Lonchura striata: one gene and its partner. The protein of the gene in region 2 binds, or shares a complex with, the protein of the main gene of each other region. Links are inferred from orthologs where the notes say so. Each region holds a gene or a part of one and is shown on either strand. Other genes may lie near its edges. The genes, in order: PRKG1 and ITPR1.

Region 1 (7,112 bases), on a different chromosome or scaffold from region 2:
TAAAACGCTTACAGCTCGGAAAAAGCAATTTTATTTAACCATATGTATCTTTAATTGGGGGAAGGATGTGTGTGTAAGGGAAGATCCTGCAGATTTTATTGTATTTGTCCACACAAGGCAATTACATTTACTTTTACACTTTGAAAGCCATTCATAGAATCCCAAAATGGTTTGGGTTGGAAGAGATCTTAAGCCCATCCAGTGCCACCCCTGCCATGTCAGGGACACCTTCCACTGTCCCAGGCTGCTCCAAGCCCTGTCCAACCTGGCCTTGGGCACTGTCAGGGATCCAGGGGCAGCCACAGCTGCTTTGGGCACCCTGTGCCAGGGCCTGCCCACCCTGCCAGGGAACAATTCCCAATTCCCAATATCCCATCCATCCCTGCCCTCCGGCACTGGGAAACCATTCCCTGTGTGCTGTCCCAAATCCCTCTCAAGCTCTCTTACACCCATTCAGAATTCAGCCACTCTACAACACAGAATCTTCTGTGTGGCATCACAACAGCTTTCACCACCACAGACCCTCAAGTACCTACTGTGACTCTCATGATAATTCAGTTCCCAGAGAGTTTCTGCTGCTATTGATCCTACCAATCTTCAGCAACCTCTGCCAGATCAGGAGAGCTAATCCAGCACCACCTAACTACAAAAAAAAAAAAAGAAAAAAAAAAAAATACAGAGTCTACTTTAGAATTACCTTGATTGGAAAACCCCTCTAAAATCATAAAGTCCAACCACTCTCCCAGCACTTCCAAGGCCACCACTAACCAATATCCCCAAGTGCCACATCCACCGGCCTTTTGAACACTTCTTGGTGGCTTGACAAAACCAAAGGTTGGGTGCCATTACCTCAAGAGTCACTGAGGTTCAGCACGAACAGGGGGGGAAAAAAACCCAACCCTTTTGTGCAGGTTTTGTTATTCCCAGGTTCCCACCACCTTAAACCTCACCACCACAGTAGCTTATCTTGGTCACCAGGCTCTTAGGGCTGACACAGAGCGCTCAACGTCTCCCAGAGCCACGTACACTCCTGAAACCATTAGCAAGGATCTTTTCCTGTAATCACAGACTGGTTTGGGTTGGAAGGCACCCTAGGAGCTCTCTCATTCCAGCCTGTTGCCTTGGGCAGGGACACCTTCCACTATCCTGGGCTGCTCCGAACCCCCAGAATGTCCCACCTGAGTGATTACAACCTGAAAGCACAAGTTGACATCAAAATTGTTAATAATATTAGAAGTCTTGGACTTCAGAGATAATCAATATGAAACACCGCCTCGGAGGAGTTGGGCATTACACCCCACACCAGACCGCAGAACTGCATGCATACAAGGAGCGCTGAAAATTCCAGCTGGAAAACGTTCCCCCAAGGCTTTTGCCAGGCTTCCCACCTATTTCAGTGGGGACGGCAGAGGCTGCGGACTGGCTCTGCTGAAACCTGTGGCGCTTCCCGGAGTTCTGGGAGCTCCATTCGCACTTCGAGAGCGCCGACAAGGAAACCAACCCGTGTGGGGCTTTGCGTTCCCAGGGGAAATGAACACCGTGGGATGCCTTATCCCACCTTGGGTGCTCACCACGCACCCCAGGGCTTCCGCAGACCGCTCGCCCGCCTGGCCTCCGCCACCGCAGCCCCCCGTGTGCTGCCAGCTCACTTTTTGGGGTGTTTTACTCGTTTTGGGGGTGCAGGGGAGGCGTTGCGGGCGCCACCGCCGTTCGTCCCCTGACATCCTTCAGAACGGCGCGGCCGGACGCCTTAAAAGGGCAAAATATCTGTGGCGGTGGGAATGGGGGGCGGGCACGGCAAAGTGGGAATGGGATGTGGCGGGAGCGAGCGGCAGGAGGGGCACACGAGGCCCGGCGCGGCGGGGTCCGGCCATGGCGGCCGTCCTGAGGGCGGGCAGTTGCCTGGAGACGGCGGGGCCCGCCATGGCGGCGGGAAGGGCTGAGGCTGCGCGGGGAGCGGGCCAGCCCCGGCACGGTCCCCGCCACCGTGCCCCGCCACCGCCCGCCCCGTCCCACACGCCCCGCACTACCGGCTCCGCTCCCCGTTACCATCCCGCGAGGAAGACGCCGGCCGCGGAGGGGAGGAAGGGTTTGGCAGCCCCACCGACGGGGAGGCTGCGCCCCGGCCCCGCACATGGAGCCCGGCGCGGCGAGCATCCGCTCATCACCTTTTCCTTCCTCCTTTTTCATCCCTTGAGGAGCGCTGAACCAAAGGCACGGAGACGTACCGGCCAGGGAAAGGCACGGAGCGAGGGAGGGCTCCGCTTCCCCATTAAGGCGCTCTAATTTCCCTAATCTGCGGCAGGTGTGAAACCGGGGCAGCGCATCCCCCGGCGCGCTGGCACCTGAGGATCCCCGCAACTTTCCCTGCCCCCCGCACACCCGGACACTGCAATAAGCTCCTGCTTCTGCCAGACTCCCCTCCCCAAAACACCAGCCCCCTCCCGGAGAGCCGGGCACCGCATCCCGCCGGCCTCCAAGTTTCCCAGCTGGGAATGTCTCCCTGCGGGGTCCCGCAGCGAGCCCCGGCTTTCTCCCGCTCCCTCCCGCAGCGACGAAGCCGCCGTGCCCACGACGCGATCCGGTTCAACCCGCCGGCAGCACCGTCCCCCGCAGGGATGGGGGCCGGGTCCCCCCGCAGCCGGGACGGGCTGTCGGAGCCGGGCGCCCCGCTCCGCTGGCACCTCGGCGCTCACTCCTGCCGCTCTTCCCCCCTCGCAAACCCGGCGCTCGCAACTTTCCCACCCCGCGGGGCCACCCGGGGAGGATGCGGGAATGCCGCGCTCCGCTCCCTGCCCGGCGGGCGGCGGCGAGGCCGGGGATGGAGCGGGATGAGGGAGAGGGGAGGCTGAGCGGCGGGGTGACCCCCTGCTTACTGCGGGCTCTTGGGGTAGAAGGGGAGGGTGACGTGGCTGAGATCTTGGATGTCGAAGGCGGTGGGCTCGGCCGAGATCGCCTGGCGCTTGGTCCGCTGCTCGCCCTGCAAGGTGCCGGCGCTTTGCTGCTGCGCCTGCTGCGTGGCGGGCCGGATCACCGAGCGGTACTTGTCCAGCTCGTTCTGCAGCTTCTGGATCAGTTCGTCCTTCTGGTCCAACTCCAGCTCCAGCTCGTCGATGAGCGCATCCCGCTGCCGCAGCTCCTCGATCTTCTCCTGCAGCGCGTACTGTAAATCCCGCAAAGTGCCCATGGTCCTGCCGCCGCGCTCGCCCCTCGCCGCTCCCGGCAACTTTCCCCCCCGGGGCCGCCTCCCTGCGCTCGGGCCACCCCGGCCCCCGCCGCCCCCCTGGGCTCGGCCCGGCCCCGCGGGGCCGCCGCCGCAGCCGGACCCCCGGCACGGCGCTCCGGAGCCGGGGTGTTGTCAGGGGCGATGTGGATCCGCCTGCGTCAGGCCGGGCTGGCGAGGGAGCCGAGATGCACACACACACACACACATACACACACACACCCGCGGCGGCGAGCGGGGAGGGAGGCAGGGGCGGCGGGAGGATGCACATGCTCGCCCCGCTCCCTCCCGCCGGCCCCGCCGCGCCCCGCGCCGCCCACGCCCCGCGGGCTGCCGAGGAAGGAGGGGGCCGGCCGGGAGCAGCTCCCGGTGCCTGCCCTCCCGGCCTTTTGCTGGAAGCCAGCACACAGGTCCGAGCCGCGGACCTCCCGTCCTGCTCCCTCTGCTCCGCTCAAGGTGCCAGTTCTCCTCAAAGAACTTATCCCCCCTTTACTTTGCTTTTAAAGAGACGGGTTTTGTTGTCTTCCCCGAGTGGAAGCACAAGCCAGCGTCTGGCATGGCTCCTCCTCAAGCCTCAGCAAGCTCCGGGTTCCAAAAACCCAGATTTTCATGGGAATATCGGTCAAGTCTGTCTGCACTGGAAAAGCCTGGAGGCAGGGCATCTGGCTTTCAGAGCACTGAAAAAAAAGCCCTTAACTTAAAATCTGGGAGATTTTCTGCCTGGCCCAAATACCCATGTGAAAGCCCAAGTTTCTGCTGTACCAAACTGATCAGACTTCCCCGGAGTGCAGGGTTTTCCTTCACGCACACAGGTTTTCTGTGTGGCCCTACCTCTGCCACACAGCTCACGGGGCTGCAGCACAGAAATAACACAATCAAATAAATGAGCCACAGTGGCCAAGTCCTCGGTGCCAAATGATTCTGGGTTCTTCCATTTGCCAGGCGCTGAAGGGCCAGCAATGCTCACCCCGAGAGCACAGCTCCAGCCTTGGCTCTCTGGGGAAGAAACAGGGAGCTGTGAGCTGGTTTTGGGGGTTCCAGTCTGGAGGAGCCAGTGATAAAAACCCCAGAGCGTAGGAACCTCACCAAAGCTTCTGCAGCACTGGGGCACCGGCACAGTTTCATGCTCAGAGGTTTTCAGCTGCTGTTTCTGTTCCCTCTTGGGGAGTTTGATTTGGGGAGGAGGATGATGCAGCCCTGAATGTGGTTTTTTGGAGGTGGGTGGCACCTACATGTTTATGTCTAGACCTTCCATGCCAGGCATGAGCTGGGAGTGCCAGACTTCCAGCCCCTGCTTATGGGGCTGAGCTCCTTTGGTCTTGCCCTTTTTTTTTCCTCCCCCGTTACACACTGGCCCCAGCTTTCAACCTGCAGCTGTTTTTTATAAAATACATTTATAAAAGAGAATGGATGAGGAATTAGAGCTGCTCCCTGCTCCACACTGTTGCTGGAAAGGGCCTGGCCTCTGCTCACAGACATGAAGCCTCGCAGGTTTTCCATGCATTTGATCCTGCATTTTTCAAATGCACGCAAAAAGGGGGGGTGGGGGGGGTGGAAATTGGGTTATGCAAAACTCTTCAGTTTTCAGTCCCCTTGATATATTCATGCCAGGCACAAAGCAAAGTCCCCCAGTTGTTTCCATGGGTTTAAGGCACAACAGCATTTTTTACTGTCTATTCCCCCTATTTCCATCTCACATAACTCACTGGGAACAAAAGTACCAGATATCTGCTGAACATTTCCATTTTAAAGACAACAGGCATTAAACAGATGCATTCCTGCTGCCTACAAACTGGGAATCAGTGATAAATAAAATATTTTAACAGCCTTCAGCCAACACGCTGTAAGTTTTATTGGTTTCCTCCCTGCAGAAGTGAAATCTGCAGGAGGGAGAGGTGATACAGTTAGCTGAAGCCCACCAGGCTTCAAAAGAATCCCGACCCTGGAGAAAACTGGTGCATAATTTCTCAGTGACAAGCAGTAAAATAACATTACTTTGTTTCAGTGAGAGGGGCACAGCTCAGGACTGAGACAACAGTGCCCCAGAATGGAAAGGATCCACAGAAAACCATGAGAAATTATGGCACATAAAGCTGTCAAGGAATTTAGCTGAGTGTATCTAAAACGTGTATTCATTTCCAGGTAGGAAGAAGATTTTCATCAGGCCCTTGGGAGTCTCAAGAGAGATTTTTATGGCCCAGGTTTAGATCTGGGACCATAACCAGCAGCTGTCAAGCCCAAGGCCAGTGTTCCCTGGTTTAAAGATGAGGCCAAAGCAGCCCAAAGGGTTTCAGAAGCCAACAGCAGAGCTCTGCCATGGGAAGGCAGCTGGCAGTTGCCTGTTCCTGGCTATTTCCTGCTCTCCCAAAGAAACCAGAGCACAGAAACCACGAGGCCAGCACAGATCCTGCTGTGTGATCTCGGGGATCACACCCCACTCCCATACAAGTAAATCCTATGGTCCTATTCCTTTCAATTTAAAGCTCCCAATAAAATAAATAAATGGATCACAGGCTCAACAGAGCAGCTGTTTTGTCTGCTTGATCCAGGGAATGGAAAGAAACAGCTTTAGGGAGAAGAATGGCAGGAATGCACCAACTGGCTTGGTGTTGGGTGAAGCTGCTCACAGCTTAAGGAAATCTTCGGCTATGAACTTCCCAAAGCCTTTTCCTGCTCCCTCCACTTCCAGAGCATGCATGGATGTTGAGTGGGAAGCCAAAAAAAAAAAGAGCATCTGCAGAGATGTGCCCCAGAACATGGCACGCCAGGGCTGGTTGGTGGGAATCACAGAGCAGGGATGTTTCTCCTCTCCACTGCACTCACAATATTTCCTCTCTGCACAGCTCCAGGCTTTTGATACCTTCTGCTTCTGAACCTTTTCAGGGATCATCTGCCACCAAATGCGCCCACTCAGCTGCCATTTCTCAAGCTGAAACTGTATTTGAACACTGCCTATCCTGCAAACACCTCCCTGGATCCCTGAGACAAGGCTCAGCGAGCTGGCTCGATCCCTGACAGGCAAATGTCACCTTGCTCCAGCCAGCCGGGACAGCACGGACACAAAGGCTGGACATGCACCACTGCCCATATAGATAAACATCTTCCTCCTCCTGGATGTGGTGTTTGCTCCCTGCCTAATCCACTCTGCTCTTTTCCGAAAATATCTGCAGGAGCAGATCAGCCCGTGGCAGAAAGTTGAACCGGCTGGATTTTGTGCTGGATTATCCTGCTTCGTGCAGGTTTGGGAAGGTCTGTGACCTGCAGGGCTCTGCCCTCCCCTAGCACACAACCAAATTCCTGCCCTATCTGCACAGTCACAGCAACACCTTCATGATGAGAAGGAACTACAAGAATACAGGAATATTTCGAGGGAGGCAGCACCCTTACAAAAAGCACCTCGAGGTGTGGTCACACCTGAGACTCGCCACATCTCACTCATGGGATGCCATCTGCTATTCCACCACGTCCCCAAAATCCACAGCAGTCCCCAAGGCAGAGCAAGGAGTGCCACCTACTGAAACACGGGCACACCCAACTCTTCCCAGGCATATCTGACCATTCCTTTTGCCCCAAAACGCCTCTGGCAGCTCCTTCTGTGGCCACAGGGCCATACAGATTTATAGGGGGCACCTGGGAACTAATTCAGCCCCCAGGGATGGGGATGAAGCTGAAATTACTGTGTCAAAGCAGCCTTGCCATGACCAAGGAGCAGGAATTGAATACCTGAGAAGTGCTTCAGCCTCTTTTCTTTTCTCCAGGAAAACAAGACCTATTTTCTCGTGGCACTGGATGCTCCTCCTCCCTATTTTGGTCCTTTCCAGAGCCTCTAACCCAAAAGTGAAAGCCATTTGTCCTCCCCACAAAGGGATGGAGATATCCAGCTCTGAGC
Region 2 (8,189 bases):
GTAAACATTTCACGCTCATTTCTCCCATCACTCAGCTCACTCCCGACGCTAAGTCAGAAAAAGCAGGTTTCAAGAGCAATGCTTGGAGTTTGCTCTCCTTGAAGAGCGGAGCCAAGGCCCCGTTTGAAGTCCCTCCTGGTGGGGACTGTGTGACAACATCCCTGCCCTGTCATTCCTCATCCCCAGCATTTCTGAAAAGGCTTTTTTCAAAGAATTCAAAGCTACTTCCTTGATTGCATGTCTCGCACGTCTGCTTCGTGTGGGATTTTAATTCTTTACCCCATAATCCTGTTTGTAAGATAAACAAGCCCAAATGCGTCTTATTGCTGATTGCTCGATTCCCAGCAACTGGGATACAAATTACTGTGTCTTTCCAAGATGCTTCTAATGATGTTTGTTTAGAGTAAGAAAAAAGCTCCTTGCTGTGCCCTGCAGTCCCAGGATGCACTCAGGTCTCTGCTGGCAGATTTGCACTGTGGTTTAGTGCTCAATTCAATAAACACTGGCAATTTTATATGTACTGCTATCAAAACTGGAGCACCACTTTATCAAAGTCTTTTTCACTATCTCGGTCGTTTAAGAATAGAATTTCAAACTGTACTTAAGTGTTTCAACTTCATTACCGCCGACAGGAAATTCCAGAGGGAAAGTTTAATTCTGTTTCAGTTTTTGACAGAAGCAAGACCAGAGTTTAAGGGTAGACAGACAACAAAGAAGCAAACACAAAGAACTGCTTAATGGCATAAGCAGAATCATACAGAAATTAACAGAAATTAACAGAAATTAACAGAAATTAACAGAAATTAACAGAAATTAACAGAAATTAACAGATTAACAGAAATTAACAGAAATTAACAGAAATTAACAGATCTGAGAACCCCCAAGACCAGGTAAGTCTGTGTTTGAATTAAATTGAATTGGGTCATTAATACTGATAAATCGGGCCAAGCAAATTAACATTTTTAAAATGCAACCAAACACTGTATTATCCTGAAAATCCAGTGCTTAGATAATCTGGTAAATCCAAATTTTACCAGATTACTTGGCTGAAAATTTGGCCCTACAGACTAATCAAGACTTTATGTGGTTTTTTTTGGATAACACCCACAGAGCATTCTGTATTTTCACAGGTGCAGCCACCTTGAAAATCTGAACCCAAACCTGATGTTTCTCATTCAGTAAAAAAAAGAAGGTTTCCTCCCCGAGGACGCCAGGAAAGATTCCTAAGAATCCCATTAGAACAGCTGAAGAGGGGAGGAAGTGCTTTATTTAAAAGCTCACCCGGTGAATAATCACCGTGCTGGGGCTGAGGACAGAGCTCTGTCATCTGCAAAGCCTCTGCTTAGCAAATCTGAAAGGAGCTCTTTGCACTCGCCAGGGAAAGGAAAATGAAGAGATTTTGGGATGTGTGGGGCAGGCCATGTGCTGAACACCAGGATCCTCTCACCTGCTGCTAAGGGACAGCGCTGGGAGGGTTCAGCTATGCACATGGGGCTCCATTTCAGAGATTACCCTTTAAAAAATAAACTATCAGTGCAGTGCATTTATCTACCACAGGATCTTGTTTTCCCTTCAGCTGCAACCTTTCATGTCCAGGAGGCTGCTGTCTGCCACACATGGGTGGCTGATGAACCGTTAGATTAAGGAGGAGAAATGCACTTTCGCAGACCAAGTATTTTTCCTCCTGACGCTTAAAATGCAGATTTTTTTTCTTCCAATTTCCAGGCTGAACAGGCAAGATGGAGGCTGGGGAAAAGGGGAAGGAGGGAGCAGCAGAGCACTGTGACTTTCTCAAGGACACGCAGCAGGTCAGAGTCGGGGCCCAGATCTGAATCCAGGTCTCCCAAATCCCCATCCAGCAGCTCACACTCCCCTCCACTCCCAGGGGGGAGATCACTCACTGCACATCTAATCAAGCACACGCTTCCCCTTCCTCTAAAAATAAGTAGGGAGAGAAGTGTAAATTCACACAGCAAGATGAGGGCCGAGTTAATGACGTTCTATTCATACTATTTGCCACTCCACAGATAAATAGATTTTTATCACATCAGTGACAGAGTTATTCTGAAGTGACTATTTCATAGGTGCAACAGCAGTTAAGAAAACAGATAAAGCAACTCATTTTGGTAACTTTAACCTCAATAAAACCTCAGTACAGGAAAGCAAATGTGCACAATGTTCTTTTCTCCTTAGAAAGGGCATTTGCTTTTTTTTTTTTTTTAATTATTTGCCCAGTGCAACCGAACAAGCTAGATACAGAAAATTCAAGTCAAAAGCATGGAAGTTTCACTCTGACAGCAATCCCTTACACAGCAGCCACTGACTGAGGTAAGAAACATGACTGACAGGTCCTACTGACAGGCATCTGCAGACAGCTGGAAAAAGAAACTCTATTAGAGACACACTGTCAGGGGAAAAAGAACATTTTTTTGTTCCAAACTAAGTATGACCTGACAGCATCTTCCTAATCCTGTTAAAAGCAAGGAGCACTTGCTGAAGCTGATACTTCCTGAAGTCCATCCTTGCTGGCTCCAGCCCTGCTGGGAGGAGGCAGCCTGGATGTCAGCCTCTGGACGAGGCCCCGATGAGCACACAATGTTTTCCAGCATATTTCAATCAGGAGAGAGCTGGAACACGCCACAAGGACCAGGACAACCAAAGTCATGGGGAAAGAGAGCAAGCTTGGTTTATTACACCAGCTGGAGCTTGGCCAAGGAACAAGGATGGCCAGGGAAGAAGAGGGCACGGAACAGTCCCAATGTCACTTGGTGTGGCCAGCTATCTGCTGAGGGCTCAGCGCAGCAGGGGCTGGTTCCTGCACCCCACAGCAAACTCAACACTCACTGAACCCAGCGGTTTCCTCACTTGTGCCTCGATGGAGCAGCTTCCATCCCCTGCAGCTGCTCATTCCCTGTCCCCATCCCCATCCCCGGGCAGCAGCGCACCTCGGCGGGGGCTCCCTCTCCTCCATGGCGGGCTCTCTGTCGGTCTCCAGGGCTGGGCTGGGCAGGGCGTCCCCCGGCAGGGCTGGGTCCCCTCTGGCAGGGAAGCCAAGGCCGGTGTCCCGCTGGGCAGCCCCTGCAGGCTCCGAGGGCTGCGCTGTCCCCGAGGCGAGGCAGGACCCTCCCGTGCGCCGCGCGTCCCTCCCGGACACCTCCGCTGGCTCCCGGCTCTGGATAAAACCTCAGCGCCCGGGACAACCAGCCCAAGAGGAGGAGCCACTGCCAGCACATGATGAGCACGTGTGGAGAGCCACTGGTGGCCAAGGGACCTACTTTGAGCTCCAAAGCCCCGATGGGCCAGGCTGCGTTACAGATGAAGGCTCCAGTTCCCAGGCTGCCTTGTACCTGTTGGCCTCCCAACTGTAATTTTCCAGAAGGCAAAGGTTCAAAATACTGAACCACCCACGAGCATTAGCATCCGAATCTGCTGAACGCTTAAGAGAGGAGCGGCCAAGGACTGCAGAGTTATTTAATTATTTTAATCAGAAGTTCCCAATTAACCCTTCGGATCAAGCGCCATCAGCCAGCTGAGGTTGAGCCTGCATCTGTGGCCATGTGTTTCTCCTTGGAGTGGGAGGCAGATGGGACAGAGCTGGACTGCAAACAAAGCTTCCTTCTTCACAACTTCTTGGCAGATTTCTGAATTTTTGAAGAGGTGGACAGGTGGGCCAAGGGACAAAAGAAATGTTTATACAAGTTTCACGCAAAACTGCTACTAAACAATCGCATAAAATAAAAAACAAAGTATAGCCTTTGAGCAGCAGCCATTTTTGGCCTCCTATGATCAGAAATGTCTTCCATTTGCATGCTCAGAGATTATCATCCTCTGACCACAGAAGATCAAGCACCAGACGAGCAGAGGATGAACTGCCTGTGTCCATTGTGACACTGGCTTCAACCAACCAAGCCTCTTCCCTTAGAGCTCAGCATCACATTAGTCCAGAAGCAGAGGCATTACCTAATATCTTAACCCAGAAACATCTGGAATTTCCATTTCTCAGAGCTACTCCCCCTCCTTTGAGCACAGACTGGTTTGGCTTGAAAAGGACCTGAAAGATCATGTTGTTCCACTCCCTTCCACTAGACCAGGTTACTCCAAACCCTGCCCAGTGTGGCCCTGGACACTTCCAGGGAATATCATCAGTGAGCTAGGAACACTCAGCTTCCTGCAGCACTCTTCATGTTGGAGTTCTGGCACATGAGGATGCAATCACATTGCCACAAGCAACAAATCCCCAAGTACCACAGACTTCCACGCACATTTCCAACCCATTTTCTCTCCACAGGGTTAACTTGAATATCAACTGACATTTTATTCTCCATAGAACGCTGCTAGGAAGTTCTGATCCAAGTTTTGAGAACCAAAACCACAAGCATGAAAATGAAACTCCTCTGAGTTTGGAATCCACAGCTGAATGTTGCAGCTTTCCTCACTTGAATTACAGTTCCTGTAGTTTCTATTTCATCTTTTTCACAGAACACAATCCCAGAATGGTTTGTGTTGGAAGGAACCATGGAGATCATCTCATTGCACCCCCTGTCATGGGCAGGGACATCTTCCTCTACTCCACATTGCTCCAAGCCCTGTCCAGCCTGGCCTTGGACACTTCCAGGGATGAAGCAGCCACGGCTTTTCTCAGCAAATTTGGTCCCATAAAGCACAAGTGCCCTGAAGACCTGGAAATTCTTTCTCAAGTACAGCACAAGCAAGAATCACACAAGGAGCCTCTGGCTGCCCTCTGCCCATCTAACAAGTACTTGCAGCACCCTGGAAAGAGGGATCTGCCTCCATCCCCAGCCACTGCCTGCTCGTGCCAAGCCAGAGAACGAGGCAATAATTGCTGTAGTCCTTCTGTAGTGTCCGTGGGGAGCAGAAATCAGACAGGAATATCAAACCAGATCAAAGCTCGTGCAGTTCTGGCACCCAGGCTCCTGCAGCAGCCTCCAGGAGAGCTCGCTGGAAGGGCACACACTTGGAACAGCCACGGGCACAGCCAGCATCCAGCCCTGCAGCACAGGGACCCTCTACAGCTCTTCCAGCCTCTAAAGCAGCACCTGGCCCCACCCAGCACAGGCCACTGGATAAAACCGGGCAGCTTTTGACACCCAGATTTTGATTCTCACACACAAACAGCACCAAAAAAAGGCTCCAGGCCACCCAAGCACCTTCACTTTCTGTTGCTATCTTAGCAGAAGAAACTAATTTGGGACATACACTATGCAGATCTTTAGGAACCAGGATTTACAGCACAGTCTCATTGTGGCAGAGATGTTACATTTACATAACCTTCTTGCAGTACATGATTTTCTGCCTCTAAACCCTTTGGTCTCCATAAGCTGCTTTGCTGAGGCCGCCTTCCCTCACACTCACCCACGGGCGAGCCAGCAGCTCGTCTACCAGCTACTACAGAGCCACTACCCTCATCCCACCTCCCACGGGAGCCTGAGATTCCTCCTGGCTTTAAGACAATCCTACAACTACAACGATCTTGTATTTATGGGGTAATAATGTCTCAAAGACTCCCAGTACACTTTGCAAGTTGACACATGAGATATTCCAAAGGAGTCTGCTGTGCACTGGGGAACCACCACAGCCAACAAACCAGGCAGGATCGCAGGGTCATGGAAGCTGGAAAAGACCTTCCAGGTATTGAGTTGAACTGATAGCACTGTGCCCACCCAACCATGTCAGGCAGAGCCACATCTGCTCAGTCTCTGAACATCTGCAGGGATGGGAACCCCACTGCTTCCCCAGGCAGCCCATTTCAGTGTCTGATTACCCTTTCAAGTGAAGTTATTTTTCCTAATCTTTAAGCTGAGCCTCCCCTGCCCAGCTTGAGGCCATTCCCTCTCCTCCTGTCCCTGTCCCTGGAGCAGAGCCCATCCCCACCTGGCTGTCCCCTCCTGGCAGGAGCTGTGCAGAGCCACAGGGTCCCCCCTGAGCTCCTTTTCTCCAGGCTGAGCCCCTTCCCAGCTGCTCCTGACCCTCCCCAGCTCCATTCCCATCTCTGCCCCTCAATGTTTTTCTTGCACTGAGGGTCCCAGAGCTGTTCCCAAGACTGGAGGTGCCCCAGCAGTGCCCAGGACAGGCACTGGCACTGCCCTGGTGCTGATGCCACATCAGTGCTGGGACAGCTCAGGTGGCACTGGTCTCTTGCCTGCCTGGGCACAAACGAGCCCAGGTGGCCAAAAGCAGCTACAGCTGCCCCAAGAGCTCATCAGAACAAGCAGCACCTGCTCTTGTGATGGTTCTAATTCAAGGGCAGGTACCAGACAAGGGCTCAGGAGATTTGGGATCTGCTTTAATCCCGCTTGACAGCACTGAACAAGAAGTTCCACCTCAATGCTGTCCATTTCAGCATTTACCAGGAGAGACCAGCTCATCTGACAAGAAGCAGCCAAAGGGAGCTTCTGCTTCCAGAACAGACTTCTGGACCACCCCAATTTGACCAGCTCCTGGGGCTGTTCCCTTTTCTCTGGCACACACACAGTACTGGAGGAGCTGGATGCCCAAAATTCACCCCAAACCTGCCACCCCTGCAGGTGCCCTGTTCTGGTGCTTGCCACGCTGTCAGGGACATTCAGTGCTGTCCTCAGCAGAGGAGTCACTACAAATAGAGCAGGACCTCACACCACACAGCAGCACAGCATGGTTTCAACTCTCCCTTTAGGCTGCAACATCCTCACTTGTGAGCTGCCAGGACTTGAAATTATTTCTTCACTTTAACTCAATTTGTGCATTTTCTAGACTACACTACACCAAAATTGTTGAGGGAACATGAGAGGATTGGTGCTGCTGTGGATAACATCATGTTACAAAACTGAGGCTGGAAAAGACTCCCAGGATCATCGAGTCCAAGCACTGCCCAATCCTCCCCTTGTCCCCAAGTGCTGCTTGGATACCTCCAGGGATGGGGATTCCACAGCCTCCCTGGGCAGCCCCTGCCAATGCCTGACAGCCCTTTCAGTGAGAATTCCTCCCAAAATTACACTGCTCATGTACAACCAGAGATCACAAGTGTCCCTTACAGCCCCTCCACTCTGTTCATCAGTCTTCATCAGTCCCAGGACAGTTCCATTCATCCAAACCTGCAGCTCCACCAACCACCATCAAAGAAATAAATCAAATGCTCCCCCTCCTGTGCTCTTCACTAAGGCCTCCTCCACCCTCCAACGATGGTGTTCAGGATTAGCACATCTCATAAAAACCATTTCCCCGAGCTAAGCTCCACCCCATGATTGCAAGGGCAAAGCAAACTTACTCCCGTTTGTTTACTTCCTAATTTATGAAACCTGGTAAGAGGAAACTATTTTCAAGGCTTAATCAACACTGCAAAACAAGCAGATGGTGGGAAAAAACCCTCATCTAAGCAAACATTTTAATCTTGGGGAAATAAGGTATTTTAACAAGAAAAACCCCTGTTATTGACAAATAAGAGGCGGCTTAAAGAAAACATTAGAAATAATCAGCTCAGCATCGGCTTGTTTTGAAACACACTAGAACCGTGGTTTTGTTTTCACAGTGACTCCTTGTTTTGGTTTAGGCACACTGAGCACTACAGCTTCACACCAGCTCAAGCTGCTGAGTCCCACGGTGGTCAAGTCCCACATTTTTTTCACCAAGTGTCCTGTGACCCCTAAACTTCTGGCCTGATGGATGCCAGCAGCGTTCTCCACCCACTGAACAGCCAAAGCTCTGCTCCAGCCACGACACCCTGCAATGCTGGAACTGCTTCCACCAGCACAACCACCAGGCATTCAGACCATGGGATACTTGCTGCGTGAGGAAATGGGTGTAAATCAAGGTACAGAAAAGAACCAAAGAGAAATCCAGCACCTGGTAGCCCATGAAGCGGCTCCAGAGGAAGCACTGAGGGGAAGGAAGGGATATTGGCCTCACATGGCATCCCGCACTGCCACAGCTGAGCCCTGCAAGGAAAACAGCTCCACCATGGGCCTCGGAGTCAGCCAACCCTCCTGCTCAACACGGCTGCAAGTCCTGGGACAGCAGGCTCAAAACAGCCCCAAAGGCAAATAACTAAATGCACTTCAAGAAATAAAACACATGCACAGGTACCGACCCTCACTAATAAACAAAACCAGCAGCTCCCACACACGCTGCTCCCTACACGACTTGCAGTCACTAAATCTTCATCAGGCAAAGATCTGGATTGTATTAGCCACGTT

The links.
Region 1: ITPR1 (region 2) and PRKG1 share a complex: the UniProt entries of both Homo sapiens proteins name them as parts of the cGMP kinase signaling complex. The link is inferred for Lonchura striata from reciprocal best matches to the Homo sapiens genes ITPR1 and PRKG1.

What each region holds. Positions count from the first base shown.
Region 1 is NC_134609.1:37,893,738-37,900,849, reverse strand, and holds the start of PRKG1 (cGMP-dependent protein kinase 1), read right to left. Parts: upstream 3,260-7,112; 5' UTR 3,188-3,259; coding exon 2,877-3,187; intron 1-2,876. UniProt on the Homo sapiens protein: Serine/threonine protein kinase that acts as a key mediator of the nitric oxide (NO)/cGMP signaling pathway. GMP binding activates PRKG1, which phosphorylates serines and threonines on many cellular proteins.
Region 2 is NC_134614.1:22,875,886-22,884,074, reverse strand, and holds the start of ITPR1 (inositol 1,4,5-trisphosphate-gated calcium channel ITPR1), read right to left. Parts: upstream 3,193-8,189; 5' UTR 2,972-3,192; coding exon 2,946-2,971; intron 1-2,945. UniProt on the Homo sapiens protein: Inositol 1,4,5-trisphosphate-gated calcium channel that, upon inositol 1,4,5-trisphosphate binding, mediates calcium release from the endoplasmic reticulum (ER).